Sus scrofa: one gene and its partners. The protein of the gene in region 1 purifies or fractionates together with the protein of each later gene. This does not show direct contact. Links are inferred from orthologs where the notes say so. Each region holds a gene or a part of one and is shown in the gene's direction. Other genes may lie near its edges.

What was found.
Region 2: the proteins of FBXW11 (region 1) and MYO10 purify together in Homo sapiens (affinity purification with mass spectrometry; 3 studies listed by BioGRID and IntAct, with this or other methods). This does not show direct contact. The link is inferred for Sus scrofa from reciprocal best matches to the Homo sapiens genes FBXW11 and MYO10.
Region 3: the proteins of FBXW11 (region 1) and STK4 purify together in Homo sapiens (affinity purification with mass spectrometry; 5 studies listed by BioGRID and IntAct, with this or other methods). This does not show direct contact. The link is inferred for Sus scrofa from reciprocal best matches to the Homo sapiens genes FBXW11 and STK4.
Region 4: the proteins of FBXW11 (region 1) and HIVEP1 purify together in Homo sapiens (affinity purification with mass spectrometry; 3 studies listed by BioGRID and IntAct, counting the BioPlex papers as one, with this or other methods). This does not show direct contact. The link is inferred for Sus scrofa from reciprocal best matches to the Homo sapiens genes FBXW11 and HIVEP1.
Region 5: the proteins of FBXW11 (region 1) and TUBGCP4 purify together in Homo sapiens (affinity purification with mass spectrometry; 3 studies listed by BioGRID and IntAct, counting the BioPlex papers as one, with this or other methods). This does not show direct contact. The link is inferred for Sus scrofa from reciprocal best matches to the Homo sapiens genes FBXW11 and TUBGCP4.
Region 6: the proteins of FBXW11 (region 1) and AMER1 purify together in Homo sapiens (affinity purification with mass spectrometry; 7 studies listed by BioGRID and IntAct, counting the BioPlex papers as one, with this or other methods). This does not show direct contact. The link is inferred for Sus scrofa from reciprocal best matches to the Homo sapiens genes FBXW11 and AMER1.
Region 7: the proteins of FBXW11 (region 1) and STK3 purify together in Homo sapiens (affinity purification with mass spectrometry; 4 studies listed by BioGRID and IntAct, with this or other methods). This does not show direct contact. The link is inferred for Sus scrofa from reciprocal best matches to the Homo sapiens genes FBXW11 and STK3.

What each region holds. Positions count from the first base shown.
Region 1 is NC_010458.4:52,302,901-52,306,400, forward strand, and holds part of FBXW11 (F-box/WD repeat-containing protein 11), read left to right. Parts: intron 1-1,545; coding exon 1,546-1,732; intron 1,733-2,633; coding exon 2,634-2,724; intron 2,725-3,500.
Region 2 is NC_010458.4:6,142,686-6,146,924, reverse strand, and holds the start of MYO10 (unconventional myosin-X), read left to right. Parts: upstream 1-1,439; 5' UTR 1,440-1,958; coding exon 1,959-1,979; intron 1,980-4,239. UniProt on the Homo sapiens protein: Myosins are actin-based motor molecules with ATPase activity. Unconventional myosins serve in intracellular movements. MYO10 binds to actin filaments and actin bundles and functions as a plus end-directed motor.
Region 3 is NC_010459.5:47,386,159-47,390,393, forward strand, and holds the start of STK4 (serine/threonine-protein kinase 4), read left to right. Parts: upstream 1-1,435; 5' UTR 1,436-1,544; coding exon 1,545-1,579; intron 1,580-4,235. UniProt on the Homo sapiens protein: Stress-activated, pro-apoptotic kinase which, following caspase-cleavage, enters the nucleus and induces chromatin condensation followed by internucleosomal DNA fragmentation.
Region 4 is NC_010449.5:8,514,708-8,518,655, forward strand, and holds the start of HIVEP1 (zinc finger protein 40), read left to right. Parts: upstream 1-1,148; 5' UTR 1,149-1,289; intron 1,290-3,948.
Region 5 is NC_010443.5:128,081,240-128,085,514, reverse strand, and holds the start of TUBGCP4 (gamma-tubulin complex component 4), read left to right. Parts: upstream 1-1,475; 5' UTR 1,476-1,760; coding exon 1,761-1,838; intron 1,839-4,275. UniProt on the Homo sapiens protein: Component of the gamma-tubulin ring complex (gTuRC) which mediates microtubule nucleation.
Region 6 is NC_010461.5:50,861,306-50,865,505, reverse strand, and holds the start of AMER1 (APC membrane recruitment protein 1), read left to right. Parts: upstream 1-1,400; 5' UTR 1,401-1,500; exon of another isoform or gene 1,501-1,882; intron 1,883-4,200. UniProt on the Homo sapiens protein: Regulator of the canonical Wnt signaling pathway.
Region 7 is NC_010446.5:38,010,540-38,014,601, forward strand, and holds the start of STK3 (serine/threonine-protein kinase 3), read left to right. Parts: upstream 1-1,262; 5' UTR 1,263-1,497; coding exon 1,498-1,523; intron 1,524-4,062. UniProt on the Homo sapiens protein: Stress-activated, pro-apoptotic kinase which, following caspase-cleavage, enters the nucleus and induces chromatin condensation followed by internucleosomal DNA fragmentation.

The sequences.
Region 1 (3,500 bases):
GTCTAAGGTTTTAATTCAGCCACGGCCATCTTGGGAGTCTGCTGCGGTAACGCCTCTTAGATGAAGGCAGTGTAATCTTTGACTGCATTAACTGCGATGTAGTGACACGTGCAAGAAGAGATAGTGGCCTCAGGGTAGTTGTAATCTTCATTATCACATCACAACCTGGGTGTTAGACCCAGAGCAGAGTCGGAGAGTTAGTGTGTGAGGCGCCTGTAAACCATAAGCAACAGTGTAAATAGTCATCTTAGGGATGAAAGAAATCTTGGTTTGGGAAGCATGTTTTATGCATCATCTCAGTTTGATATTTTCACAATAACGGCAGAGAATGTTGTCCCCATTTTATGCAGATGAGGAATCTCAGGCTCTGCGAGTTTAACGATTTACCGAGACCTGTCAAGTTAGTACTCTCCTGCTTCCGTTTATCTTAAAAGAGAACACATGTTAACCTTGAATGGTACTTTGTTGTCTTTAAAATCTTTTCATAGAACCTTATGGATTTTTGCAGATAGTGCCTACCATTTTATGTGGTAAAAAAAACAAGAGGCAGGGACGTTTCAGTAATTGTTTAAATATTTGTTTCGTGCTATAGAACTGCTGCATGGTGAACCTAGACCTGAAACTGGAATTTTCTAGCTATGTGTTTGGTGTTCCCACTCCTCCACAGAGAAGGCCTGGGGATGACCTCTGTTTCTTGTAGCTGCAGAGGAGATGCCTAGAACCCACAGGATGGGCGTTTGCGGGCAGCCGCTCTGTTGACCACAGGGATCTTCTTTACCTCGTCACCTTTGTGACGGGCACATGTCAGGCAAAGGCTGGATAGTGGTTGTCTTTGAGAGGATACGTGCATTGTGTAGGGTAAACCTCTTAAGGTTCGAATTTTTAGGCACGCGGTTCATGTTTTGAGGATTTTACCTCTGTGAGAAGATGGAGAAATGATTGGCAAAAATCAGAGTACACCTAACTTAATTCTTGGATTGTCGTTTAATTTTTCATAAGCTTTTTCAGATGCGTCCGCGTTTTACCTTTTTGTCTCTTTAACTCGAAGCAATTCACTAGGTCAGGATTAATAGGATGATCTAGTAAATCAGAAGGGAAAGAACACAAACTTGTGCAGCAAAAGATTAGAATTCTAGTCTCGGCTTCACTTATAGTTACAAGACCTTGACACCTTTTGCCTCTCTGCCTCATCTGTTACATTTGGGCTGTCATTACCCCATAGAGTTATGTAATTAAAAAAAAAGAAAGAAAGAAAGAAAAGAAATCTTTTGTTATAATATCTGACAAACATAGAATGGTCCAGGATTGACTTCCACATAGGAACTGTTGCCGTCAGTTGTTTCGTCTTAAAAAACCAGAACCCAAAAGAAGTGTGTGTGTGTGTGTATGTACTCATGCACTTGTGTATCTGCAGAACTTTTGATCTTACTCAAGCACATCTCCCAGTTCAGGATTTCTTTATGCCTCTTACCTTTAAGGAAACGGTCACTGGTACTACATTTGCATCTCCCTTCCCATTCCTTCACTGCCCTTTCTGTTTTGTAGAGCAAGGCTTAGATCACATAGCAGAAAACATTCTTTCCTACCTGGATGCCAGGTCTCTGTGTGCAGCAGAGCTGGTGTGTAAAGAATGGCAGCGAGTGATCTCCGAAGGCATGCTGTGGAAGAAGCTGATCGAACGAATGGTGCGCACTGACCCTCTATGGAAGGGACTTTCAGAAAGAAGAGGGTGGTAAGTATTTGGATTATATATTCTCGCGAAAAAAGGTTCTCTGATTACTAAAAAAAAAGCAGTTATACTTACCAAATGTGTTGGCCTATCTTAAAGCAAATGGGAAGAGATGAGTGGTCAGGAGTCAGGGGCAGAAAGTTAAAGTTGTTAAAATAACCCCTTCTGAAATGCGTATTTCCTCTATATCAGTTAGGATAGATAGGTTCTATTTCCTCTATATCCGTTAGAAAGTATTGGATAATTTGAATGAGTGATTGGGCTTTTCAAAGCTATGTGAATATGCTTCTCCTTTCACCTTTTCCTGAGGTGCCGCTACCATTACCAAAAGATAGATGAGAACGAGAAAACACGAGAAAATCAAATAATGCAGTTTTGCTGTTAGATGTATTGCCCTTGGTTGAAGACGGGAGGTAGAGCGGGTGGGATTTTTCCGAGGCAACCTTATCTGATGTACAGCTTCGTTTCGTAGCTCCTAGCTCCGTAGCTCCATACCTGTCAGGGACCGCGCGCAGCCAGCGCGGACAAAGAGAGCGTTGCAGGTAGCTAGTGGGGTGAGTGATGGTTAGGGCTGTGTTGTCTTTCCTTATGGGAAGAAGTTTGGTGTGTACTAACTTCGATTTTTCTCAAAGCTGCATTAATGCTTTTTGTTAAACTATAGAGGGAAAGGCGAGGTTATTGTGTTGAGTATTAAGAAAATGAAAGATTAGGATCATGTTAAGTGTAAGCGGAAGTAAACGTCTGTCTAACATGAACATTTAATTGTCACACATCCTGCTTTTGAACTGTTAAAGCTCAGTGCAAGTCAAAAGACTCGAAAGATACATCTTTGTAAGCACCACATTTCAATAAATTCAGCCTTTTATGTGCAAAAATGTAACATCTGTTTGTTTTTATTTGCCAGGGATCAGTACCTGTTTAAAAACAGACCCACAGATGGCCCTCCCAATTCATTTTATAGGTCATTATACCCAAAGATTATCCAGGATATAGAGGTAACTTTATGATTTATCTGTTTTATGGGCTCTTTGTGTTTTGTTCTCAACTTTTTAATGTTGCCTTAGAGTGTTCTGTTGATCTGAAATCATAGCATTAGTGAAAAAAAATTTTTTTAAGTTGAAGTCTTGGAGCAAATATGTCACAATGTGTAATCTGTAGCTATTTTTTAAAGTAGAAAAGGCTTTTTTTGTAGAAAATGATCTGACTTTTTAAAAACATGAAACGCTTCTGCAAGGCCGCCAGTTAATTAAAACCTTAATCAGAAATTGACTTTTTATTCTTATTTGATAAAATTTCCAAAATCCAAGCCCTAGTTTTTCAGCGAAGCATCATTTTACATTTTTGAGCCATCAGTAGAGATCTAGAGAAGGCACAGTCTCAGTTTCCTCGGTAGATTTCCCATAATTTTTCATTAAAATGACGCAGATATGATTCTAAACAATACTTAAGTGACTTTTCTAGAGCAGATTACGCTCCTGGACCATTTCAGATTCGAGTGTAACTTCCCTAGACCAGTAAACTCTGTGAACTTGATGAGAAACATTGGAGATGTTTGATACTGTTCTTGTGTTCTAATTAGTTTAGTTTTATTGTTTAGCCCTCTTGCTTGAACCAGGAAAGACATGCACAGGCATTTCTCATTAACTCTCTCACATGTGTTCTTGGCAGGTCTTAGTTACTTCACTCTTTCCTCCTTGGCAAAAAAGTTCAGCCTTTGCTAGGCAATGCTGTATCACCTATAAAGTTACACTCAGTTTCCCAAATGTGAAGT
Region 2 (4,239 bases), about 46 Mb from region 1:
GTTTCCTCTCTTGAGCTTTGACTCTGCCAACTGAAGATGAGTAGGACACCAATAAAAACCCCTGGACATGATGTAGGTTTACCTCAATACGCCATAGTTTCTCCAGTAGCCTTAGGAATAAGCCACACCCAGTGGTTAGGTGGAGCTGGAATTATGATGAATGGCTGGGCATCTCTGGGCAAGCTTCCCCTTGAAGATGTGACTTTTCGACTTGAGTTTTAAAGGATGAGTAGCAGTTGGCAAATCCCCTAGAGAGAGCTTCTCAAACCATTTGTGGTGAAGAACCAGCCGTGTTTTTGTTTTTTTGTTTGTTTGTTTGTTTTTCCCCTCCCCAATCTGTCAAGTACCCATAGGACAACCCTGGAGTGCCAGGTATGACTTACTACGAGTCTGACAATACCCAAAATGGTTTGCACTCGGTTCAAAGCGTTCACCGATCACGTGCTTGTATATCAGCGGCATTTTGAAATTGCTACAAAAGTGTCTAAACCTTTGCTCTCAATTTCTCCCCTCATTACAGACAGGTTCCAAACAGTTTGCAAAACAGTACAAGGTTGGGTGTCCGAAAGCACCTGAAAGCCTGCTGAAAATGCAGCTTATGGATTCTCACCCCACAGAATTCCGACCTGCAGCTCAACAAGATTCGCAGGTGATTCCTGTGCACTCTAAAGTTTGAGGACCTGCCCTAGAGGAAACTAACACTCAGTACCGGGGCGGGGGGAAGGGTTGAGCCTTCATTCATCTCCCTTCCGTTTGGCTATCTGCTTCCTTTAGGTCCAGGAAAGGGTTACATTTTTAGGGTGCAATTGGCCACGTCCTCTTCCAATTTACAAAACTACATTTTCTGGCTCCAATGAAAAAGTCTTTTAACCTAACAGCAGGAGAGAAACTCCACACGGGAAGGCAGCTTCCAGAAATTCTGATTAGCCTCGGTTCTCCGCTTTGATTTGGCCCAACAGCCAGGGCAGCTTCGCGGACCACGCTTCCATTGCCTGGGTCGCTCATCTGCCGACGCATTAATGAGATCCGTGCTTAGCCGGTTCCAGGGTCTGCCAAAGATCAAAGGCACACAAAAAAGTCCCCCAACCCCTCCTCCTCGGTGACTATTTGGTCTCTATCACCAGAAGGAAGAGTCAACTCCCCCGCCCTCAACTAGGTGGGGAGGCTGGGAGGCGGAAGGGCGGGGATGTAAGGGGAGCCTATCAGGCCCCGCCTTCCCCGCCCGCCTCGGAGCCTGAGGCAGCCGGAGGAGCAGGGTGGGAGGGGACCCGGAGAAGATGGGGGCGGGGTGCGCCGCCGGGTGGGGCAGAACCCTGCGGAAGCGCGGGGAGGAGTGGGCTCCTGCAGGGGCGTGGCGTGGCGTGGCAGACCGGGCAGGGTGGGCGGGGCTCAGCGCTCGGTGGGGCGGGGCGAGGGGAGCGAGTGGGCGGGGCCGGACGAGCGGGCGGGGCTGGCCGTGCGCTCCTGTCCGCAAGTCTCCGTGCGGCTGTGAGCCGGTTGAGCCCTGGCGCCCGAATATTCACCGCTGCAGTGCTCGCGCGGGGAGAGCAACTCCGGGCTCGCTTTGTGGCCGCTGTTCCCCTGCCCGCCCCGAGCGCCTCCCGCCGGAGGGCAGAGGGAGGGGGCGCGCTCCCCAGCTCCCCGCCACCCTCCCCCAGCCGCGGGGGAAGAATGTGCCACCAGCTGTTCTCCGCTTGCTAGCGCAGCGCCCAGGAGTGAGGAACTTGGAGAAAGAGACAAAGGCTGCAGTTGGGACGAATGAGTTAGAGACTTGGGTTTGGGCAAACAAAAGGTGCGAAAGACAATAAGGGGAAAAAGCGATGGCAGTGGGGGAGCTCCGCGGGGTCAAGTTGCTGGGAATCGCGCCGTGACACGCATGGTTTCCCCGGACCTTCTGTTGGGCTGACTTCCTCGAGCTGGAAGCCGGACTCGGGCAAGTTGGGGAGCGCACGGGAACAATGGACAACTTCTTTCCCGAGGTGAGTGCGCTAGCGGCCGGGAGGGCGGACGCCGGCGTCCTGGCCCAGCTCGGGCTGCGTTCCGGGAGCCGGGCGCGGGCTCCCTTCCTGCCCAGACCTGGCCTCCGGGGAGGGAGGGATGTGCCCGCGGCGCAGCGCGCACACTTGCTACCGCGCGCGCTAAACCCGAGAGGGCGAAACTTTTTGGGAGTCGTCAGAAATCAACCCCCGGGGAGTCTCCGGCTGAGTAAGCCGAGGCAGGTTTTATTTTGTCCCGTGCTCTCAACTTGGCTCCGGTGAGCGAAGGTGAGCGTCCTTTTGCAGGAGTGGCCGGCTCCCCGGGTGTCCCAACGGCGCCCGGCGCTAGGTGAGGCGGCGGACGAGGGGCCTGGCCGGGAGGTCTGCATGCCCCACTTCCAGGGTGCCCAATAAAATATTCATCGGGGACGTGCCTTTCTCCAAGAAAGGGTCTGGTTTGGTATTTCCTTTGCAAAACGTGCCGGCTTCCTGTGAGAGGGGTGCAAACACTTCCAGTGGAGACGGCTTAATGAAGTGTGAGAAGGGGGAGGCGAGGGTTTAATCATTCACTGTGTTTTCTGCCTGTCGGACCTTTGGAGTCTAGGTTCTAATGCTCACCAAGAAGTGCTCTTTTTAGGATCTGAGATCATTCCGGACAGGGAGACAAAAAGAGTAGGAATTTGTGCGGACTGTTTTTGTAGATTTTAAATTCGAATGTAAAGAAAAGCGTTTAGAGCGAACATTGGTTATTTTTAAAGATTAAACTGATGTTCCTTTTAGGGTCATGGAGGGCGGGACACCACAGTTACTTGAAATCTCTGTCTTGAGAACCTCCTTTTTTTCCCCCCCAGGACCGAGAGTTACTGTAGTTTCTTGGCTCCCTTTCCTTTCTTGGTTGTGTTTATTTAATAAATTCTATTTAAGTTTGAGGTTTGAAGTGGCTCAAAGTAAACTTAGTTGACTTAAGGAGCCTGATGTGACTTTCACTGAAAGCCAGGGGATGTTTTGTAAATCAAGGACAGTTTTGGAATCTTCCAGAATATTAGATTGGTGAAGGTTTGCATCTCTTTTGGCTAACTTTATCAGTTTAATTAGATACATTATTTCAAGTGATTGTACTTTCTGGATGCCCACTGATTATAAATAATCTAACAACTGTTTACAATGGCCTAAGTGAAATGTTCTTGCATGATAGTAATATCCCTTTTTTTTTTTTAAAAAAAAAGTGGTGTCTCAGTGTTATACCCACATTCATGGTGAGAGGTGGAGACTGGAAAGGAATGAATCATTCATTAATACAATTTTTTTACTTTTTTAAAAAAAGTGAAATTTACAATTATGAGACTCTAGCATTTTCTAATCCATAGACCTTTGTTTTCCTGCTTGTAAGAAGGCACCAGAACTTTTTGCAGGAGTTGCAGGTTAACCACTGATGAAAGACCAGTGGGCTGTGTTTAATTGCTTTCATCTGTAAGAAAACCTGAGGCTCTTGCCTGCAGGACACTAACTCTTAACTTTTTTGGCAGTGGAGGGGGCCCTTTATTTTGCTTTTGTTTTGTGAGTTCCTTAGGAAATTTGATGAGACATAGAATTTGTATTGGATTTATTGGGGTCCTAGTCCCCAGGAAGCCTGTCTGTGGGCCTCAGGGAACCAATGACCTCCCCTTTGGAAGAACTCTGCCCCCTAGTGCAAGTGGGAGGAACTGCAGGATAACGTGGGACAGCTGCAATCTCCTGCCCTCCAATCGTCCTGTTGCACTTTGAAGTACTTTTTCTCAGTAAGGAAACCTAGTGGTTGGATTTTTATTTCCATGATTAATATGGTCTTGAAGTTGGCCTTCAGCAATCATTTCCATTCCCTTCCCTTCCTAGATGAAGAATCTTTAACTCAAAGATGTTAAGTCACTTGCCTAAGGTTGAAGAGGTTGTTATGGAACCCACGGGCTTTTTCCTCTAGTGACTTCAGTATTGAGGGAAATTTTTATGTATTTAATCTTTTATGTTATTAATTTTGTGATGTATTTGTATTACAGTGTTAATTTCTAATCAGAAATTAATTTTTGGTTTATTTCTTTCTAGTCAGTATTAATTTCTAATCCGAGTTCCTCCTCTAAACATTACTTTGAAAGGGAAGCCACCAGGGCCAAGGAGGCTGTAGGTGCTGTATTGATTGGAGACAGACTCTTAACATAGATCAGGTCTCTCTTTGGTGTCTTCTAACAGAGCATACTTTTGTTAAATTGTCCCGTTGGAGCAGAAACAG
Region 3 (4,235 bases), on another chromosome or scaffold:
GAGCAAGGCCAGGGATCGAACCAACAACCTCATGGTTCCTAGTCGGATTCGTTAACCACTGAGCCATGACGGGAACTCCTTATTATTTTTTTAAATTTATGTTTAGCTTTTTTTTTCCCCTCCTTTTTAGGGCTGCACCTGCAGCATATGGAAGTTCCTGGGCTAGGTGCTGAATCGGAGCTGCAGCTGCTGGCCTATGCCACAGCCACAGCAGCGCCAGATCCAAGCCAAGCTTGCACCAATGCTGGATCCTTAATCCACTGTGTGAGGCCAGGGATAGAACCTGCATCTGCATGGATACTAGTCAGGTTCTTAGCAGCTGAGCCACAATGGGAACTGCTGTTACTCCATTTTTAGCATATGGAGTCCATACCTGGGTCGCCCTGAGAGGTTGCTCAGGTGTTGTTCTGAAGATGCTTTGAGAAAAACAGGACAATTAAAAATGGTGAGAGGTTGCTTTGGGTAAATTTTCTCCGGTAACGTTATGAGTGAATTGGGCGGAATCTTCCTTTTTCTTAATATTCACTGATGGTGGTGGCAACCGAGGATTTATGAATTTCTATAACTGGAACTGGAGCTCTGAGGGGACAGGAAGCTCTGAATCTCATGCCCAACCAAGGGTCCACAGTGACTGTCTAGTTTGATGGTGCAGGCTCTGGAATCAGGTCTATCTGGATATAACTCCCCAAACCTATACTTTTAGCTATTTGAGCTTCACCTCTCTGGCCTCACGAGAACAACAAAAGTATGCACCTTACAGCCTTAAGAGTATTAAATGAATTAGCATTAGTAGGGCATGAAAACGTGGTAATGGTAAGAGTGTCAAAAAATTAGCAGAGAAGATTGGGGTTAACGTTACAGGCTTGATATGAGGATTAAATGAAACAACACTTGAAAGCCAGTACATGGTAAGAGTTTAAAAAATAATAGCTATTTTTTATGTACACAGGTGAGGCTGTCAAGAGGGTGGAGCAATTTTCAGGCTGATGCTCTGTTACATCCACGAAGCGGTTTCGCACGTTCGAGCTTCCACCTGGAACAGGAATTCAATTAGTTCAGACCTGTAGAGTACCATAAATACCTCTGGGAGTCCCTGGAGCAGTGCTTCCCAGGAATCGCGCAGAACTTGGCTGGTTAAGAATCGACAGTTGTTATCAAGTATGTTGCTTCGCAAGAAACCTCAGTATCTCCGTCTGAGATATGAGAGGCGCGGCCCGAGGCAGCGATGGGTTCCAGGTCTGGGGGACCAAGTGTCTCGGGCTAACACCACCGCAAGAAACAACGCCGCCGAGACTCCAGTCTGCCTGACGACGTGCCCCAAGGCTGTCTCCGAGCCTCCTCGTTCCGCCCCAGCGTGCCACGTGACTCGAGTCCGCACCACGTGATCCAGGCCCGGCCCTCGCGGCCCCGCCCCTCCCCTGAGCAGCTCGCCGCTTCCGGTAGGGGCGGAAAGCGGAAGTGTGGGAGGGTCTGCGGGGCGGGCTCGGAGAAGTCCCGGGGGAGGATGGAGCACTGAGCGGGTCTGGGCGGCTGCCGGCAGCGCCATGGAGACGGTGCAGCTGAGGAACCCGCCGCGCCGGTGAGAGGCCGCTCGCTGGTCAAGAGGAAGGGGGGCGGGGAGGGAAAGGCGGGAACCGGCCGGAGGGGTGATGGGTGTGTGAGCCCGTGGAGCAGATGGACCTGCGGGGCCAGGCGACCGGGCTGATGGGGCACCTGCTGAATGGGCGACCCCTGGCCGGCGGGGGTCTGGACGAGGGGGGATAAACATGGGGCTGGTTAGAGATCACTTGTTTTTGGAGGGACAGCCTGGCAGGAGGGGAGCGACAGCCGGGGGGAGCAACTGCTGAGGAACGTGGGGACAAGTTAGGGAAAGCACCTGCTGAAGGCGGGGGTTGCCGCTGGGTGAGGGCTACTATACCAGAAGGGACTCATTGAGGTAGAGAGGATGCTGAAGCTGGGTGAGAACCAACGAGGGGGGATCTGTCTAAGGGATGGATCAGGAACAAGGAGAGAGAAGGGTTGGGTAGACTTTCTAAGGGACCGAGTCCCGCCCAACGGGTGCAGTGGGGAGGATCTGCTGAGGAGAAAAGCTGTGCGCCTGAGACTGAAGATGTGCCAAGAAAGGTTGAGAATGGGTGCCAAGCAAGGGTGGCTTCATGGAGGACAGCATTAGGAAGATGTTTTTGGTAGTGTCTCCACTCTAAGATAATGACACCTTTCCTTCCTGATGTCCAAGGTCTTCCTAATTTTCTTTACATCTGACACTGGGAGGTAGATAGGGAAGTAAGAGACAATTTTCTTTTTCTTTTTTTCCCTCAAGTATAGTTGGTTTACAACGTTGTGAGACTATTTTCAAGATGGGCAAACTGAGGCCCAGAAGAGTTGAGACACAGTCCTGTATGTTTCCTTCTTTGCTCTTGATCTGGGTCACTGGACCCGGCCAGACTTGCCTTTTTCAGATCTCTCTTGTTTTGCGTCGGTTCCAAAGGCTGCTGCTGCCTGGAGTTGTTTTACAACAAAATGGGGGGGGAGGGGGTAGCCTATCCTAGAAAGTCTCACCTCCTGAGGGGTTGCATTTGTGTCAATGATTTATTCAGTGGATGCCAGAGTCTTAAAGCACTCTGCCACATCTGGAGAAGAATCGAGAGTAGAGATTGAGGTGCCGTGCAGTTTGCCTCTGTTTCGCAGAGACCTCTGACTTCCTGCAGTAGAATGAGCTCTAAAGTAGGAAGTGTTCAGTGTGTGGGAGTATGGGGCAAAGGAGAGGTGAAAGGAAGGGATTGACAGCCGGGGCTGCGCCCATGGGTTTGTTTGAAGTGTACAAACAGTGCAGAAGGCAAATAGCTGGTTGGGATGGATTCATAATTCATCATATAGCGTGCTGAGTCTGACATTGAACTCACAGCACTTACTGGGTGCTAGACACTGTTCTTAGTGCTCTCCATGTCTCCTGTTGAACCGTATGAATTTGCTGATATTTGGCCATTTTGATGTGTAAAAATAGTGGTTTCATATGGTTCAACCTGTTATTGGCTCATTTGACCCTCACAACAATCCTATCACCTGTATCTCTGTATTTTACAGGTGATGCAACTGAGCCCAGAGAGGCTAGTGATTGGACAGGAGTTTCTCAGTTACTAAGTGACAGATCTGGGATTTTAATCCGAGCAGTCTGGTCTAAAGTCCATGCTGTTAGCTGCCTCACTCTGATGCCTCTCTGGAAGTACCCCTGTTTCACAAAGCCTTGTATACGTTAGCAGATATTTGCTCTAGTGCCATAGATCCAGTGATAAATGGACATGGTTATATTTCTTCCTGAATGTTCATTCTTTCTCCAAGGCCCTGGTTTAATTGAGAAGAGAATCGGGAATCTGAGTTTAGTTTTTACTTTGGTCTTATGTTGTGTAATCTTGGGCAAAAGAGTAAACCGTTTTGGTTTTCGACAGGCTCATTCCTAGACCTTTTAAATATTTCATTAAGTGTGCAAGAGAAAAGTATTGCAGGGCTGAATGACTGGTGCTTTCTGCTCATCATAACTAGTGAACTGCCTAATTTGCAGCCAATTAACTTTATTAGCATCTTATTAGTTTCTTAGGACTGCCTTGTCAGTTTCACAGACTGGGTGACTTAAATAACTGGGAAATTTATTTTCTCACAGATCTGGAGACTAGATCAAGGGGTCAGCAGGGTTGTTTCTTTTGAGGCCTCTCTCCTTGGCTTGCAGATGGCTTTCTCCTTCCTCTGTCTTCACATAATCTTCCCTCTGTACCTGGCTGTGGCCTCATCTCCTGTTCTAAGGACACCCATCATGTTGGATTAGCGCCTATGCATATGACCTCATCTTTACCTTAATTACCTCTTTAAGGGCCCTATCTCTAAATCAGGTTCTAAGGTATTGGGGGTTAGGACTAACATGAATTTGAGGGGATCAGTGGGGGGGGGCACATCGATTTTATTATCATTTAAAAACTTCCTTTATATTATAAAATGTTTGTCATAACCCATAAAAATTATATGCGGAAAGAAGGGTAAGCATACATAAGTAAAATGGCCCTTATAAGAGTTCTAGGATGGGAGAAAGAGGTTAGCCAAACCTGTAACTACTTCTTATTGGTGTTTGAAAAGATGTGGGTCTCTTTTCGGAGATTCAGATGGCATGTGTTTGCAACAAGGGAAAGCAATCCCAATGCAGGAAGTGCTCTTTGTGTTCAGGAGTTTGACACTTGTGTGTGACT
Region 4 (3,948 bases), on another chromosome or scaffold:
TCCTTTTTCACATTTACTTTGACTTTCTGTCCTAGCCAGAAAAACCATCACACGCACGGTTCACTTGCTCTCACCTTCAAGCCACTTCCCTTGCCTGGAATGCTGTTCTCATACAATTGCCAAATCCTGAACTTTTTCTCCCTCAAAATCCTGCTGAGAACTCACCGTGGGGATGGATGGAACTTTCTGTGATAATCCTGCCCTCCACCCAATCCAGAAAGCTCTCAGCAATCACGTAAATAACTGTGTATAACTTTAATTGGCTCTGTTTATAAGCCTCCTCTTGTATCTTTTTCCCTCTAGGTATTTTTCCACGTGTTTATTCTGTCTCCATTAATTTGTAAACTCCCAGAGGGCAAGGCCTGAACACAGGTTGGTGTTGGCATAAAATGGATGAACAGTTAGGACCGAATGGCAGCCTCTGCAGTGTTTCTTGATTACGAATCTGACAGTAAAGAAAAGAAATCCTTTTGTTAGTGCTTTGTTTGTGATGGTCCTGAGACTGCTAATCTAATGTAAAAATATATCCGGTTTCTGCTAGTGTCCAGTTAAGGAAGATAAAATCAACAGTTACAAGCTTTCCATAATGGGAGGGGGAGGGTGCGGGAGAGCCTGACCTGTACCAATGGTACATGAAAGGCATGTGATTATGTGAGTTTATTTTCTTCAGTGGTATCTTGTCTTTTCAAGGCTGCAGGTCTATCTTAGAAGAGAAATAATATTTACTTTCAAAACCGAAATCTAAAAACCAAACAAAGCCTCAGAAAACATACAATACCACCCTGTTCTAAGTTTGTGCTGAGTGGAGGGAAAATGAATCTAATTGAGAAGGCTTCTTTTTTTGTGTGTCTAACAGAAAATGCCACAGGGTCCAGCTCTCCAGGATTTCTGGATAGGTGGATTGTTCATTTCAGCCCAGATAACAAAGGGAAGCAGGGCAAACGCTCTTCTCACCGCGGGAGTAAGAAGTGGGAATCCTTCCCCGTGACCACCTGCTTCTCTCTCTTCAAACTAGCAAATAAACTGCCAAATAGCTGTGTATCGTTCTCGGCGCAGAGCCCACGGTATAAACCCAACGTAGGCGGTGCACTAGATAACATCAAAGCCCCAGGCAGGGGCCAGAAAAGGGGGGGGGGCAAAAGCAGCCGAGGGAATGAAGCGCCTCCCCCTAGCATTTCCTCTCACGCCCACTTCCAACCTAGGAGGCTTTTGGTTTCTGCTTTTGTTGTTTTTAAAATTAAAAGTTAAACGCAGGAAGCTTTGGATCAGACTTTTGCGTGGCAGTTCGGGTAAGTTTTCTCTCGGTCGGCTCTTTTGTCTGGCGTCTGGCCGGGGAAGAGCCTGGGCGTGGGGCAGAGCTGGCAGAGCGTGCGGGGCAGGTTTTGTCGCCGGGTCGCCCGAGGAGGAGGGGATTCGGCCGGTGGACGGGGAAGCCCAGCGCGCGCGGAGGGCGGAGGGCGGAGGGGAGGGACGGGCGGCGGCGTGACCCGGAGGCCAGCGGGGAGGAACCTCCGGGATCTCCGCGTGGCGCTGGCGCAGCCGGGCCGGGCGCAGGGCGGAGGGCCGGGGCCGCGGGGCCGCGCCAGGGGGGAGCCCGAGCCGGGCCGGCCGGGCGGCCGCGTGGGAACCGGGGCAGGGGGGCGAGAGGGCAGCGGCGGTGGCGCGGCGCCCGGCGGACGCGGCGGGCCAGCGGGGTCCCCCGACGAACCCCGGCGGAGGACTTGTGTTCTCCCCACACTGTTCTGCCAGACAAATGTGGGACTGCCCTCAGCTGAACCCCACTCCGCAAGGGGGGCTCCGAGAGCGCTCGCACCTCCAGGAGGGGCGCAGCTGGAGGGAAGTGGGGCCCGAGAGGAGCCCCCTCCTTTTTTTTTTTTTTTTTTCCGGAGTATGGTCACCTCCCCCATTGTGCCAGAATTACCATTCCCATTTATCTTTTGATTCAAAAAAAAAAAAAAAAAGGTGTTTCTCCACATTCCGTTTATAGGATACAGTTTGAGAAATTGTATTTAATTTGCCACCAAATAATTAAGCCGAAACTAGCTACTTTATAGTTGAGTTGGATTCCCCTGCATTCTGATAACTAGGGAGTCAGGGCTGTAGGAGGAATTAGGAAAAGAAATTGCATTTAGAAAATTCGGAGTGGGAAACTGTTCGGTATTGTATATGCTTCAAAAAATTAATATTAATTTAATGCTCCAGAAAGTGAAATTGTGAATAGAATATAAGAAAAGAGTCCTATAGCAAATTAAAATGACGACATTAATCTATTACAACTCCAGATTGCATGTTTAATTTGTTAGAAAGTTCCCAGCAATGCCAAATTCCATTTAAACCTTGTGTTCACGCTAAATATTTGTTATGGTCAACAACTATTGGGTTAAAAATATGGTAATTTTGACTTAGCAGGTGACACAAAGTAGAATCAATATTCGTCTTTATCCTCTGAGAAATTAGGTATACTTTCGCACTTAAAGAGATGTTTGTGTTTCTTTTAACACAAACTGCGAAGTGTACGTACTTTTTATAGTTGCCATTTAATTTCATAAAAGAGGTGATTTTATGACATCGAAAATTTAAAGAGTGCATTATTTCATGGCAATGTTGGAAGCATAGTTTGCCAAACATTATTGCAAATTTAGGCAGTTGTTGGCTGCTCTTTGCTCTTATGGCCAAATCCAGTTTTTGATGGGCATATTCCCCCCTTTACATGACATTATTTTTGGTTACAAGCTCGCTTTTATTGAGTATTCCATTTTTAATCATTGGCATACTGGTGCAGTTAAGCTTTTCTTAGCTCAAATGAGCTAGAGGTAGGATTTCCTCAGGGGAATTTTAGGGGTCAACCCTAGCAGGAAAAACCTAGATGTCTTTATGGAAGCCCCGAGGAACAAAACAATTCAAGTTTGCACAGATGGTCGGCAGAGTGGGTGTACGGTCGTTTAGCATTTTTATTCCTTAAAAGGGTAAAGCAGTTTGGGTTTATCTGAGAATTTTTTCTGCATCAAATTTTTGTTTCACCTTATTCCTCTCGAGTTTAGCGCGGCTCCTTAAACCAAGTATCTGTGCCTGCTTCCTTAGGGGTCCATGTGGGATTTCTGAGCCCCACATTTCTGTTCTTTTGGTCTAACCCCGAAAACTTGCAACAGTACCCTGGTCCAGCCCCTCCCAATTTCTTTTCCATCGGTTTCCAACTCCTTGCTTCCTCTATTGCTTTCTAGCAGCCGGGGTCAAACTCTGGGTTATGGTAACTACTCCCTCTTCCCCCTTTCTCTCCTCCCTAGCCTCCCCGGGGCCAGGTCGGCTGCCTAGCCCTGCAACCCCTTTCCTGACCCCAGAGACCCCTCTCCTCCCTGCCCCAAGCTGTCAGGCGGACAGGCAGGGGTTAACCGCGCTCGCAGCTCCGGCTCTGGGAACCACCAGCAGGCATTGGAGCGGCCTCTGGAATAACCTTGGCTTTCCTCAATCTTTTAATAGAACATCCGCCACCAAAAAGTGGTTTCAGTTCAGGGTTAATGATATGTCCCCTTCCACCCGTCAACCCGACACCCCGCCCCCCTCTCGGTTTTTTATAAAGTTGTTTTTCAAAGTTAATGAGTTTCAAGTTTCACAATGACTTTCGCCTTCCCTCCACGCGTTGCTGAGGAAACCCCCTTGGGGTCCCCCCCACACCCTCCCCCGCCCGCCCTTCTCCCGTCCCCTCCCCCTTTCGGCCCGGGCGGGGGGCGGGGCTGGGAGACCCCATGACGTCACCGTGCCGGCCCACATCCTGCTTCAGAAAGTAAAGAGACGGTAAAGAGAAACTACCGCCCCGCCCGTCCCCGCCCCTCTTCCCGGACTAACCGCCCCCAACTGCGCGACCCGGCCAGGCCTTCCCCCGGCCGCGTGACCGGCGGGCCCGCCCCTCCGCCCCCGCCAGGCGCCAGTCCCTGAGCCGGCGCGACCCTG
Region 5 (4,275 bases), on another chromosome or scaffold:
TCTTCCAGGCTCTCTTTCTAAATCTTCCACCAGAGCCACTGCCTCCTCTCCACTTTCTGGACATTGCTTTTGTACCCAATTCTGGATCTCCCCAGGTAAGATGGTCAGGAACTGCTCTAGCACCAACAACTCTACAATCTGCTCCTTGGTGCGCACCTCCGGTCTTAGCCACCGACAGCAAAGTTGCCACAGTTGGCTGAAAGCCTCCCGGGGCCCAGCTACCTCCTGGTAATGAAATCTCCTGAAGCGCTGTCGGAAGGTCTCAGAGTTAGTGCCAGTCCCTCTCAGGGTGGGTTTGGCCATCATTCACAGCAGAAAGCGGCTTTCCTCCATTTAAGGGTCTAGGTTCCAGGGTTTACACCTATCTTCCATGTCCTTGAAGAATCACCTGCAGATGAGTCTCTCTCTGTAAGAAGAATTTCCTCCTAGGGTAGAGAGAGATGGCACTATCAGAAGGAATACACTCATATGTCTAAAGTCTTGCCAGAGCTGGCCTGACTTCCCCTAAGTTCTGCGTGGCCATGTGAGGTAGCACCAACTTCAGGGCAGCAAGCCAAAACTGAGCATGAAGGTGAGAGACCATTCAAAAGCTGCATTTCTGGGCGACTTCCAGGGCAGCCCCGGGGAAGCAGCAGAGAATAAACTACTGACTGCTCCTCTTCCACCCCTCCCCAAGTCTGACCCATTGAGCTCCCCTGGCCAGTGCTGCATAGTGAGTTCAAACCGTAAGGGAGACCTAGAGCTGAGAGGTTTTAAAGGCATGTCACCACCCCGAGGAAGGCAATAGAAAACCCTCTGTCCAGCGGGTCGCCTCTGATCTGCCCCAATACTTCCGCCGTCCTTCCCCAAACCCTCTACGTCCGCCCCGCCCCCTCAGACTCCACCACCACCAATTTCTACCCCAAACAAAAATCAAGTACACAACACTGGGTCTTTGTTTTCCCTCACAGCAGAAGTAATCGCTCAGTAAATATCCGGGAACTACTGACGGGAAATCTCGAGCATTGAGAGAAGTTGGTTTTGACTTCTGAAGCGAGGGCCAGGTGGACTTGGGGAGAGTCACACTGAGTTGGTGGAAAGAGGGAGTCCGAGGGGGCAGTAGTCATGTGTCTCCTGAAGACGAGCTCGAGTGCTGGCCAAGCGCTCCGAGGGCTGCGGTATTCGCGAGTGCGGAGCACAGCTCAAGGAGCGGCGGGTGCGGGGTTCCGGCCTCTTTGTCTTCGCTTTCTGGCCAGGTCACTCTCGGAGCGGTAAGGAGTCCCTCCAGAGGCTTCGGACCGGGGCTAAGGCGCCCTGAGAGCACCCTCTGGCCCACCCCTAGGAGCTTCTCCCACTCGGGATACCCCTCAATCCGCTCGCATCTCTGCCCGTGGGCCAGCCTCACCCACTCGAGGTCTGGCTCCAGCCGGGACTCTCAAGCCTCCCAGTCCAGTTCCCAAACCGGAAGTGAGAGCAGGCGACTAGGGCGCCACAGACGCATGCGCAAGGGCAGCTGCTTAGACACCTCTCGCGGAGCCCCGGCGGGAGCGAGCGAGTGGGCCCAACCGAGCACAGTGCACTTCCGGGACGCGGCTCGCCTATCCCTTCCCTGCTTCCCGTACGCTCTCCGCAGCAGTTCTCTCAGCGGATAAAGTCTGGAGGAACCGCCCGTCCAGGAGGCCTGTGCGCGAGTAGAGAAAGGAATACGCGTTTCCTTGGTCGCCTGGTGAGGCTCTGGAGAAAGGTGCAACGGATATAGGGACCGGAGGTCCGCCGTGGAAATGATCCACGAACTGCTCTTGGCGCTGAGCGGATACCCAGGGTCCATTTTCACGTGGAACAAGCGGGGTGGCCTCCAGGTACAATCCGGCTCAGAGCGCGGGAACTAGCGAGCAGGGAATGGGTGGACCTGAGCCACTGCGTGGGGGAGGAGCCTTAGGGGGCGTGGCTTGCAGAGCTGAGGCGGGGGCGGGGGGGCGTGTCCTTGAGCAGGTAGCTGGAGGGCTGTGCCGGAGGGGCCTACCACGGTGTAAACACCTTGAGAGGTTTGGGCTACGCTGGGAAAAGGAGGGCAGACTCCTGAAAGGCCCTGCCTTGGGGAAGAGGAGGGAATCCAGGGCTGAGCCTAAGGATGAACTATCTGAATGAGAGTTGCTGGGGAACTGGATGTAAAAATGAGGGAGATGCTTTCTCCCATCTTCACACTTGCACTCTGTTTTAAGCTGTTTTGAAAATTTGTCCAAATACGTAGTATCTAACACAGAATACGACTTCAGTCAATTATTTTGAATGAAAAAGTGAATGAGGGTGTTTCCCTCTACTCCTTGACCAGGAAATTTCTTCTCCAGAAGAATTTGGAGGGAGGCCTTCATGTAACCAGGAATGTATGAGAAGGAGGGGCCATGTACTACATGTATTATCTCATTTAACTTCACAACCACCTATCTCCGTTTCACAGATTAACTCTGGTGTCAGGTATTAGGCAGTTAATAATTAGCAAACTTGGTCTTGAACCCAGATCTGTCTGGCTCCAGTATCTGAACCACTCTTCTTTTCTACTTATGCTTCCAGTAGTATTATCTAATCATCTCAACAACATAGCAAGTTAGGTATTGTTAGCCCCAGTTTACAAATGAGCAACTTGAAGCTCAGAGAACTTTATGGTGGCTTGTAGTTTTTGGGTTTTTTGTTTGTTTTGCTGCACACACCTCATCTGCTGCGTGTGGAAGTTCCTGGGCTAGAGATGAAGCCCATGCCACAGTTGCCACCTGCTTTACAGTTGCCGTAAGGTCGGATCCTTAACCTGCTGGACTGTAAGGTAACTTCCTATGGTGGCTAGTCTTGATAAGGCAGGATTTGAATCTATCTGTATACAAAGTCATGCCTGTGTCTATAAGAATTGGTAGTATAGGCTGTAAAGAAGCAGGAATATTACTCTCTTGGTCTATAAAACATAAATTAATCAGATTCCTTTTGTTGTTATTTATTTTTTACTACAAAACTAGGACAAGGCATATAGGAGAAGAATATTCAGGAAGCATGTATGTGTGCTTGATTGAAGTAGAAAGAGAGAACACACTATGGGAACAATAACAGCCTTTTTTTCTTATTTAAAATGTCTCAATTGGATATTTTCCTAAATTCTCAGATTTAAAGAGAGAATTTCACCTTCTCAGAAAAATTTTCTCAGACCACCTCTTTAAGAATATTCCTTATGCCATTATTTTGTTTTTTTTTAACGGTTTTTATTTTTTCCATTAGAGTTGGTTTATAGTGTTCTGTCAATTTCTACTATACAGCAAAGTGACCCAGTCACACACATATATATATATATATACATTCTTTTTCTCACATTATCCTCCATCATGCTCCATCATGGATACAGTTCCCTGTTCTGTACAGCAGGATCTCATTGCTTATGCATTCCAAATGCAATAGTTGGCATCTATTAACTCCAGACTCCCAGTCCATCCCACTCCCTCCCCCACCCCCTTGGCAGCCACAAGTCTGTTCTCCAAGTCCATGAGTTTCTTTTCTGTAGAAATATTCATTTGTGCCATATATTAGATTCCATATCTAAGTGATATCATATGGCATTTGCCTTTCTCTTTCTGACTTCACTTAGTGTGAGAGTCTCCAGTTCCATCCATGTTGCTGCAAATGGCATTATGTTGTTCTTGTTTATGGCTGAGCAGTATTCTGTTGTGTATATATACCACATTTTCTTAATCCATTCATCTGTTGATGGACATTTAGGTTGTTTCCTATTTTCTATCACAGTAACTTGTTTATTTCCCTTATAGGACATCACAGTTCATATTACTTATTGTTATTACTTATTGCTGTATAGTCTTTCTCTCACATTGACTGACCAGGGGGGCAAAGAAATAGTGGTCTTTTTCATATCAGGAGCACTTGGCACAATTTCTGCCACATAGTAGGTATGAAGATATTTGTGAAAAAAAGACCACCCCAAACAGCAAATATTTCATACTTTTTGCAGAACAGTGTTTTTCACATTTGAATGAAGGGAGAAATTGTCATGAATGTGCAATGTTGATAAAAATTGTTTTATCAACACATTAAGCCAGGTATAAACTTAAGCATATTGCTCTTAAACAACTATAAAATCTGTTATTTTGGAGTTTCCATTGTGGCTTAGCAGTAATGAACCCAACTAGGATCCATGATGACATGGGTTCCACCCCTGGCCTTGCTCAGTGGGTAGAGGATCTGGCGTTGCTGTGAGCTGTAGTGCAGGTCACAGACTCACGTCCTATCTGGCTTGGCTGTGGC
Region 6 (4,200 bases), on another chromosome or scaffold:
AGATTTGGAAACTGTCTTCTCCAAATTGTAATATTTTGTCTCCTTGTGGAGATGGGTTGATGCACTGGCCCAGAGTAAAACAGACTGGCCAAAGTCATACAGGAGGTCTGAGGCAGAGCTGGAGCCAGATCCCAGCCCTAGCAGCCATGTCTCTTCCTGTGTGCCACACATGCAAGGGGCAGTAGTCCTCCTCTTACCAGTTTTAGCAGCTGGATTTTTTTCAGTGCAGACGGGACCCAATCAAGCAACAGAGAACATTCCTCCTGCAATGCAAAAACGGCAGGCATTGTTCTCTAGCCCCCCCCCCCCCTTTAGACATCTACAGAATTTTAGGGCTGGGCCTTCTGGATATTCTTGAGCTAGTGGTAGAACTGGATTCTTTGTTGCCTCAGCTCACCTGGCCCGGCAGCCATTAATGCCATTTAATGCCCTTAAGCTAGAGACTCAAGTTCAAGCTGGCCCCCTGCCACATCCCAGACACATCAGTGGCACGGCTGGTACAGGCCTTCTCACTCCACCCTCAGACTTGATCTCTGGTCTGGGCCTAGACAAAATATTTCTCTCTATCCAGATTTTTTCAAGGACAGGAAACAGCACAGAGCATAGCTCACCACTAGGGAAGGTTGAGGGGGCCACTAGAGACTTTGGGGATCCCTTCAAGTTCTGTAAAAGGTGGGAGATTTGGGTGAGGGTCAATCACGGAAATAGGTATCTACAGAGAAGAAAAATGAAAGCAGCCTTGGACTGGGAGCCTGGGCAGAACTTCAATCTGTCCCTGTTGCGGGCAAGGCGAGTGACCTTGGGCAAGTACTTTTTCTTCTCTGGGCAGCAGCAGGCCCTTCAGTAACTGGAAGTTGAACTGGATGGTTTCTTAAGGTGCCCATGAGCCAAAGAGGTGGTGAAAGCTGGGAGGCGGGCACCACAATTGACTTTCCTGGCAGGTGAATTCCCCAGCGCGGCCAAGTAGCGCTTGCAGCAGGGCCCAGTCTCTACGCTCAAGGTTGGGCTCGGCAAGGGGCAGAAGGCCTCTCCAACCTCTCCACCCTCGCCCCTCCTTGCCCGCCTCTCTGGAATAAACTGCGTGGTTGCTGCCAGGGCAGCCAAATTGCAGGGCCGCCACGGAAATGGGACGCAAGCAAAATCGAAACCGAGCTCCAGGGCTCCCGCGAACCCCATCCGGGCGGGACCGGCCCCGCGAGCTTGAGGTGTGGCCAAGCAGCTAGCTACCCGCCCGTCGTTGGGGGGTGGGGGAGTGGGGAGTCCCAGCCAGGGGTTCTGCAGCCTCTCCGCCCCCTGCCTACACCACGCCCGCGCTTATTTGCATTTAAAGAGAAACTCACGGAGGAAAACAGTAGGCGAGTCGGGGAACGCCTTTTCACCTTAGGGATTGGACCACAAACCTGCCAATCAGGGCGCCCCATACCCTACCCTGTGGCTGAGTCCCGGGGAGGGGTGGGGGGGAACTCCCTGGAACCTGGGGAAGGGGAGGCAGTGCAGGAGGTGACTGGAACAGCGGCGGCGGTAGGGGAGGGGGAGGTGGAGGCGGAGGCGGCGGTGGCGGCGGCGGAGCTCTCAGCCGTGGCAGCTGAGGCTCCAGCCTTCTCCAGGGCGGCGCAGCAGACAATAACCGGGCTAGAAACCAGACCGGGCTGGGTAAGCTTTGCTCGCAGACAGTAGTCTCCGCCTGCCCGCCCTCCGGTGGCAGTCCCGCGTGCTCCGTTCTGGCAGCCTGGAGAGGAGCTCTCAGGGCTGGGCGGGTCGGCATTCGCACCGCTCTGCGCTGCCCCTTGAAACCCGCTTTGAGGACTGCCCGGTGTGGGCCAGTGCCAGGTACTCGGCGCGAGCGACTGCGGCTAGAGGCGGAGAAGAGGTGGGCAGGCCGGTGAGCTAGCTTGGGCTATGCATCTGGGCTCCTGGGGGAGGCGGGGATGGGGCCCGCACGTGCTACCCTTAGCTCCCTGGAGAGGAACAGCCAACCAGCACCCCCAGCGGGCATTTGTAGGCCTGGAGCTCAGCAGCTTTGTTGTAGCACCTTAGCTAGAACAGCTGTGTTACACGGGTGTTGCTCACCCCAGCGGCCGTCTGCCACCCCTCCCCTCCCCTGCGCATCTCCTGCCTCTCTTACTTCTCTGGGGACGGAGCCAACGTGCTGGTCTGGGCCCGACGGATAGGATACTTGCTTTGTCGTGGATTGGGGTATCTACATTGTGTGCCTCCTCCTTGGGGGAGCTCAGTTGGGCCTGTGGGCTTCTCACTTCCCTTCAGGACCTCGGCCTTGAGGGCCCAACCAGCCACTGGGTGCATCTGGTGCCCGCCCCGCTGGCAGCCCGGCTCTCGCTGGATCCTGGGTTAGGGCAGTAGCCCAAGCTAGTCCTTGGGTTAGAGCTTCAAGGCCTCTTTGTCTCCCCCCCCCGCCCCCGCCTTCTCTCTCCAGCTTCCGGTTTAAAAATAGCGATAAGCACGGTGTTGTGTATGTGCATGTGTGTGCGCGGGGGTGTTCTCTGCCAGAGGTCGAGGGAGCAATTACTGTAGTAGAGGGAACGAACCGTTTGGGTGTGTGTGAGAGAGCTAAAGAGGCAGCCAAAACCTCCAACTTCTTAGTTACTTAAAATACTTAGCCTGCTGGGCCGCTGTCATTGTCTGCTGCTGACACCTCAGATATTGTTTCACTGCCGGACTTTGCCTAGGCTCTCCGCTGATGAGGGGCTGTGCCCGCCAAGCGCGCCACTGCACAGGCGGCAGCTGGACTGACCCTGCAAAGCTGGCCTCGGTTTGGACAGGCTTGTTTTTGGTGTGGGCCGCGGGGTCAAGATGAGCCTTGTCCTCATACATTCACTATCCACTGTAGTTTTGCCTGCCAGTCGCATTGGTCTGGGCTAGGTGGAGGGTGCTGTGCTTTTGGACTCCAGGCCCCACCCCTGGGGATACCAGCACAACCCCTTCCCCCAGGGCAGCTCTCCTCATTCAGCCCCACCCACCGCTCAGTCTGCACCAAAGTGTGCCTCTGGCAATGGACTCTAGGCCTTTCTGAGGAACAGGAAGGAGGGAGCTACCCAGGGCTTGGAAGGCTCTTGTTGGACCTTTGAGCAACTTCTCAGGGTGGAGAACTCTGTGCACTGCAGGGCCCTGGCAAAGCCTAGGCACTTTTGAGAGGAGACAATGAAACCCAGTAAATCCCTCACTTAAGGAAAGGCTAGCTGGGGACCTTAGAGACACTAACCAGAATTGCAGATACTGCTGTATAGTCTCCTCCTCTCACTTTGACCAAGCACCAATATAATCCATCTATTTACAGCTGGATATCTCCAGCCCAGAGCTGGACCTGCCCTTTGCTTGCCTCAAACCCACAGTCACCTAACATGTCTGCCCTATATAACTCCCCTTCCCACACCCAAATCTACTTACCCTACACTCCAAATTCTCTTCCTTCTCAGTTCCCAGTTCTGTGCCCACCTCTTTAGTGCCTTTCCTGCCTATCTCCTGATGACTTCTTTTCTCAGAACTCATCCAGGCTATTTGCATCCTTGAGCAGTTTCAGGCTTAAGTTATAAAAGGGGACAAACTATAATTGTTTCCCTGCCTCTACTTTGTCTCCCTGATATCGTGCATGTCTGGGTTGTCTCAGTACCTCTCAGAGGAGCAAATGAAACCTGGATCTCTGTCACAGCCCTCTGAAACCCTAGCAATGCTTAGCAGTTAATGAATGCTCGGGAAGAACTTGCTGTCTTTATAGAGCTTTGGAAAAGACCTTTACTTCTGCAACTGGCATTTGTCCTGATTAATATGAAAGTGATTAGAAAAATGATACTCAAGGCTCAGATATTTATTGAGTATACTTAAGATTGAGAAGGAGGGTGGGTTGCATCTACAAAAAAAAAAAAATCATTACGTCTCCCTTCAACAATAACCTCAGGATCTGGACTTCACAGTCCTCAGACTGCACGCACATACCTTTGCTTGCTGATTCATGAGTCGAGAGGCAAACTATCATGGAGAGAAATGAGAGATATGTATATATGAGGCGATTGCCCTGGGAAGCCTCAAGAAATTTGAGGGGTTTAGTTAGGCAAAGGGTAGTGGTGTAAACAAAATTAGGAATGGGGAGGTGACTGGCAAGCAGGCTGAGTGAGGTGACTGAGTCTTTTCTGGTTGAGATTGTATGGCTCTAAGGTAGAAAGGAGGTTGGAGCCAGTGGTGGTG
Region 7 (4,062 bases), on another chromosome or scaffold:
ACAGCAGAAATTGGCACAACATTGTAAATCAACTATAATTTAAAAAATGACCTAAACAAACAGGAAATGGCCTTAACAAACTTTAAGTTTAGGGGGAGAATAAAATGGTTTGAAAATAAATCATGTAATTTTATTACATAGAAAAAACTTAAAATAACGTAAAAGGAGGACTGTCTCCATACATAAGTATAATTTGGATTAATGTTCACAACATTCTCTTCATACCTTTTGTTTTAATCTTCATCGTGACAATTTCTGACAAAAACAAGCTAGGTCATTACATAGCACCATGTAAGGTCATAAGAAAGATACCTATAGGAGTTCCTGTTATGGCTCAGCAGTTAACGAAGCAGGCTTGTATCCATGAGGACACAGGTTTGATCCCTGACCTTGCTCAGTGGGTTAAGGATCTGGTGTTGCTGTGAGCTGTGGAGAAGGTCACAGATGTGCCTTGGATCCTGTGTTGCTGTGGCTGTGGTGTAGGCCAGCAGCTACACCTCTGATTCAACCCCTAGCCTGGCCATATGCTGTGGGTGAGGCCCTAAAAAAAAAAAAAAGAAAAGAAAAACAAAAAAACAAAAAACCCTCTATAGATGAAATTTAAGGTTAAATGGTACACACACAATATGGATGCATGAAGGAGTCAAATTACAAATGTCTTGGGGACAGGTGAGGGTGAGGGTGGCAAAAGGGAAGGAAAGAAACTCTTCTTGAGTACTTTTCTATGTACCATAATCTGTGACAGGTTTGCCAGCAGTGCACTGAATCCAGTGCATGAGAGATCTCACTGCAGTAATTATTTTCTTTGTAATTAGACATAATTATTGCGAGGAGTTTGTCCACAATTAAAATCAAACAAGAACTTCCAGAAGCACCCCTCGTAGTGGGGGATGGCTGGGGGAAAACATAACCAATAATTATAAAGAGAACTAGAGAGGGAAGTGTCGGCAGCTAGTACTTCAAAAGGCTGCTGAAGATGTTTGGGAGGTATTCTTGAGAAATCCAGTGAAATGAGTCAAATCTGATTGGGGCAAAAGCAATGAAGGCAAGTGAGGAGCGGCAGCTTTGGCCCACTTCAAAGGAATGCCCCAGGCCAGCAAGCAGAGGCTCTGGGACCCGACTAGGCCTCACCCTCTCCCCATTCCAATCCCAGCTCCTTTTCTCTCCTCCCCGCCCAGTGGCTGGCCCCTTGCCTCCGCCCCCGGCCCCGCCCACTGGCAGCCCTCCCCGGCGCCTGGCTCCGCCTACCACGCCTGGGCCGCGGCCGGCTCCGCCCACCCTCCCAGGACTGCGGCCCCCGGCGGAGGGGCGGGGCGGGCCGGGAGGAGCCGCTTTCGCAAGCGGGAGGGGGATCCGCCGCGGAGTTACGGGAAAGTTGGTCCGAGTTCCTGGAGTTTCCCTCTGTGGTTCCCTGGGCTCGGCTGGCCGGTTCCTCGGCTCCTTGCCCGACTCCGGCCTTCGCCGCCCACCTGGTCCCTCCTTCTGCCCCCGGCCGCCATGGAGCAGCCGCCGGCGCCCAAGAGGTAACGAACGCGGGGAGCAAGGAGAAGGAGGGAGGCGGTGCCGGCGGCCGCTGGGCGGGGGCCGCTAGGCCGGGCTGGATCGCGACCCCTTCCCTGACTGCCGGGCCGGGAGCCTGGAGTTCCGGGGGTCTCGAGGCCGGTCCGAGTGTAGGGCCGCGTCGGTCCGTGCGGCGAGGGGACCCTGAGGGAGGCCGAGTCTCGTTTCCCCTGCGGCCCGCCGGGCCTGGAGCGCGTGGAAAGTCGGTGGGCAGCGCCGGGCGCCCAGCGGCTGGACTCCTGGGGCGGGCAGAGTTTTCCCTCGTGGCAAGTTCACGAAGCTGGGGGACGTAAAACTAGGAAATTATTGGACTTCTTACTATAGGCTTTCTTGTCAAATGTTTTCCATAATATGCACCCCCCTTTTTTTGAGAAAGCGGGCTGTTTACTTACACTTCAAGGAATTAAATATTAATAGCTACAGTGTGTTAGCTACAGTGTCTGTAAAACTTATTGTAGATGTGCTGCACTGACAGGTGTTCCTCCCCCTTCCTCCACACGTTCAAAAGTATTTATGGATGCAAGACAGAAATCTTAAATTAGAACCCCACCCCCCATACAGGTTTGGTTTTTTTTGTTTGTTTTTTTTTAGCATGTAAAAACAGTGATGCTTTGATATTTACTGTTTATATTTATTCTTTGATATACTGGATGTGTAAGAGTACACAGTAGATACTTTTGAACTGATATTTGAAGTGCTCTTGGGAAGCTAAATCAAGGCTTTCCATAGATATTTATTCTCAGTGTGCGTCCCCACACCCAACAATGAATCAGTCCACTGATATTGGATAAAACATTTAAGTCTTTCATTTTTCATTTATAAAATAAGAGTATTAATCTCTCTCCCAGATGATGCTTTTGGTGAGGACTAGAGTGTTTTGATACCTAGAGAGTTTAAGTGAAAGGTGGTATATTCAAGAACATGAAATAATTAAAAAGATAGAAACTCTGTGAGCTGTTGTGAATTGTGTCACTGGACATGTGAGCCTTGAGGCTTGGAAACCATCTGTTCAGGTGCGAAAGGGGGGTTGTGGAGAAGTTTCCAAAAGAGACCTGCTGTCATGCAGAGCCCTTGATAGATTCTTTTCTGGCATTCTACAATATCCCAATTCTAATATTGATTGGGTACCCAGTTTTAATACTATAGAAGAAAACTGGATACAGTTTTTCCCCCATTTTGTTTCTGAATGGCTGTAAGGGGCACCTTGGCGATAGTACTTTAAGGCCAAGGTGAACAGCTCTGAATGGAAGTAGAAGCTCTGTATGGATTAGCTCTGCTCTAAGTTATCAGAGTTTCACTCTGGGTGTTGGAGAACCCCTGCCCCTGCAGGGACACGGGAGAGCCTGGAGGGGTGGGGGGAGGTGTGTGTAGTATATGTCAGCATTCCATGCTGACTTATACTTTTCAAAGTGGTGGTTACACATTTGAGCAACTTATTTTTAGCTCTTTTCAGAGAGACATGTTGATCCAGGAAAGCATTTTTAAAGAGCTAAAGATATGTGGCAATCCCATGTATTTGAATATCTCTTCATATTTTTTCATAACATTTTCTTTTTTGTAATATCATTTAATCTTTATAGCAGCCCTATAGAGTCGTTAGGATTACAGACATTAATCCTGTTTTATAGGCAAGAAACTAAGAGAGTTCGTCACGTAGAAGGCTATGGCAGGGATAACCGACAGTGAGGTTTTGTGTTTCCCCCTTAATCATTACCCTCTAATAATGAAATATAGCTGCCTTTTTTTGAGGTCTTACTATTTGCCAGGAATTTTATATATGCATTCTTTTTTTTTTTTTTTTTTTTGGCTGTGCCCTCCAGGCATATGGAAGTTCCTGGGCTAGGGATTGAACCTAAACCCCAGCAGTGACAGTGCTGAATCCTTAACTGCTAGGCCATCAGGGAATGCCTGTGTTTACATTTTTATACTTTATTGTCCCAAGAAATAGGAATCTTGGCTCTGTAGCTGACTATGCTAGGTCAGACTTAAATTTCTTCATCTGTAAAGTGTGATTTGAGGAGAAAAATGAGGTCATATGTAAAGCACTTAGCACAGTGATTCATAATATGTTAGTTATTTCTTTATATTTTCTTTATTAAATGAAGCCTGGAGAGATTAAATAACTTGATCAGGTGGAGAAGGTGCCAGAACCCTGGGCCTGATGGGCTCCAAGGGTTGTGCACCCTCTCATTATAGACAGTGATGCCTCTTTTTCAGAACTCTCTCTTGCTTTCTTAGCATTCCATGATGTGGTGGTCATCTCTTTCTATAATCTTCTGGTCCCTTTTGCTTGTTTTCTTCTTAATCCCTGTAAGAATGCCACTTTTATTTTCTGCCTTGAGTAGCACTTACTTAAGGTGCAGACATTTTTACATGGTCACATGTATGTTACTGATGATCAAGTCTGTGTGCTCAGTTAGTATTTTTGATTTTTTCATGTAGCTCCATTCTTTCATTATCCTATTTAGTTTGTCACTAGATCCTGTCAAATTTTTCATCAAA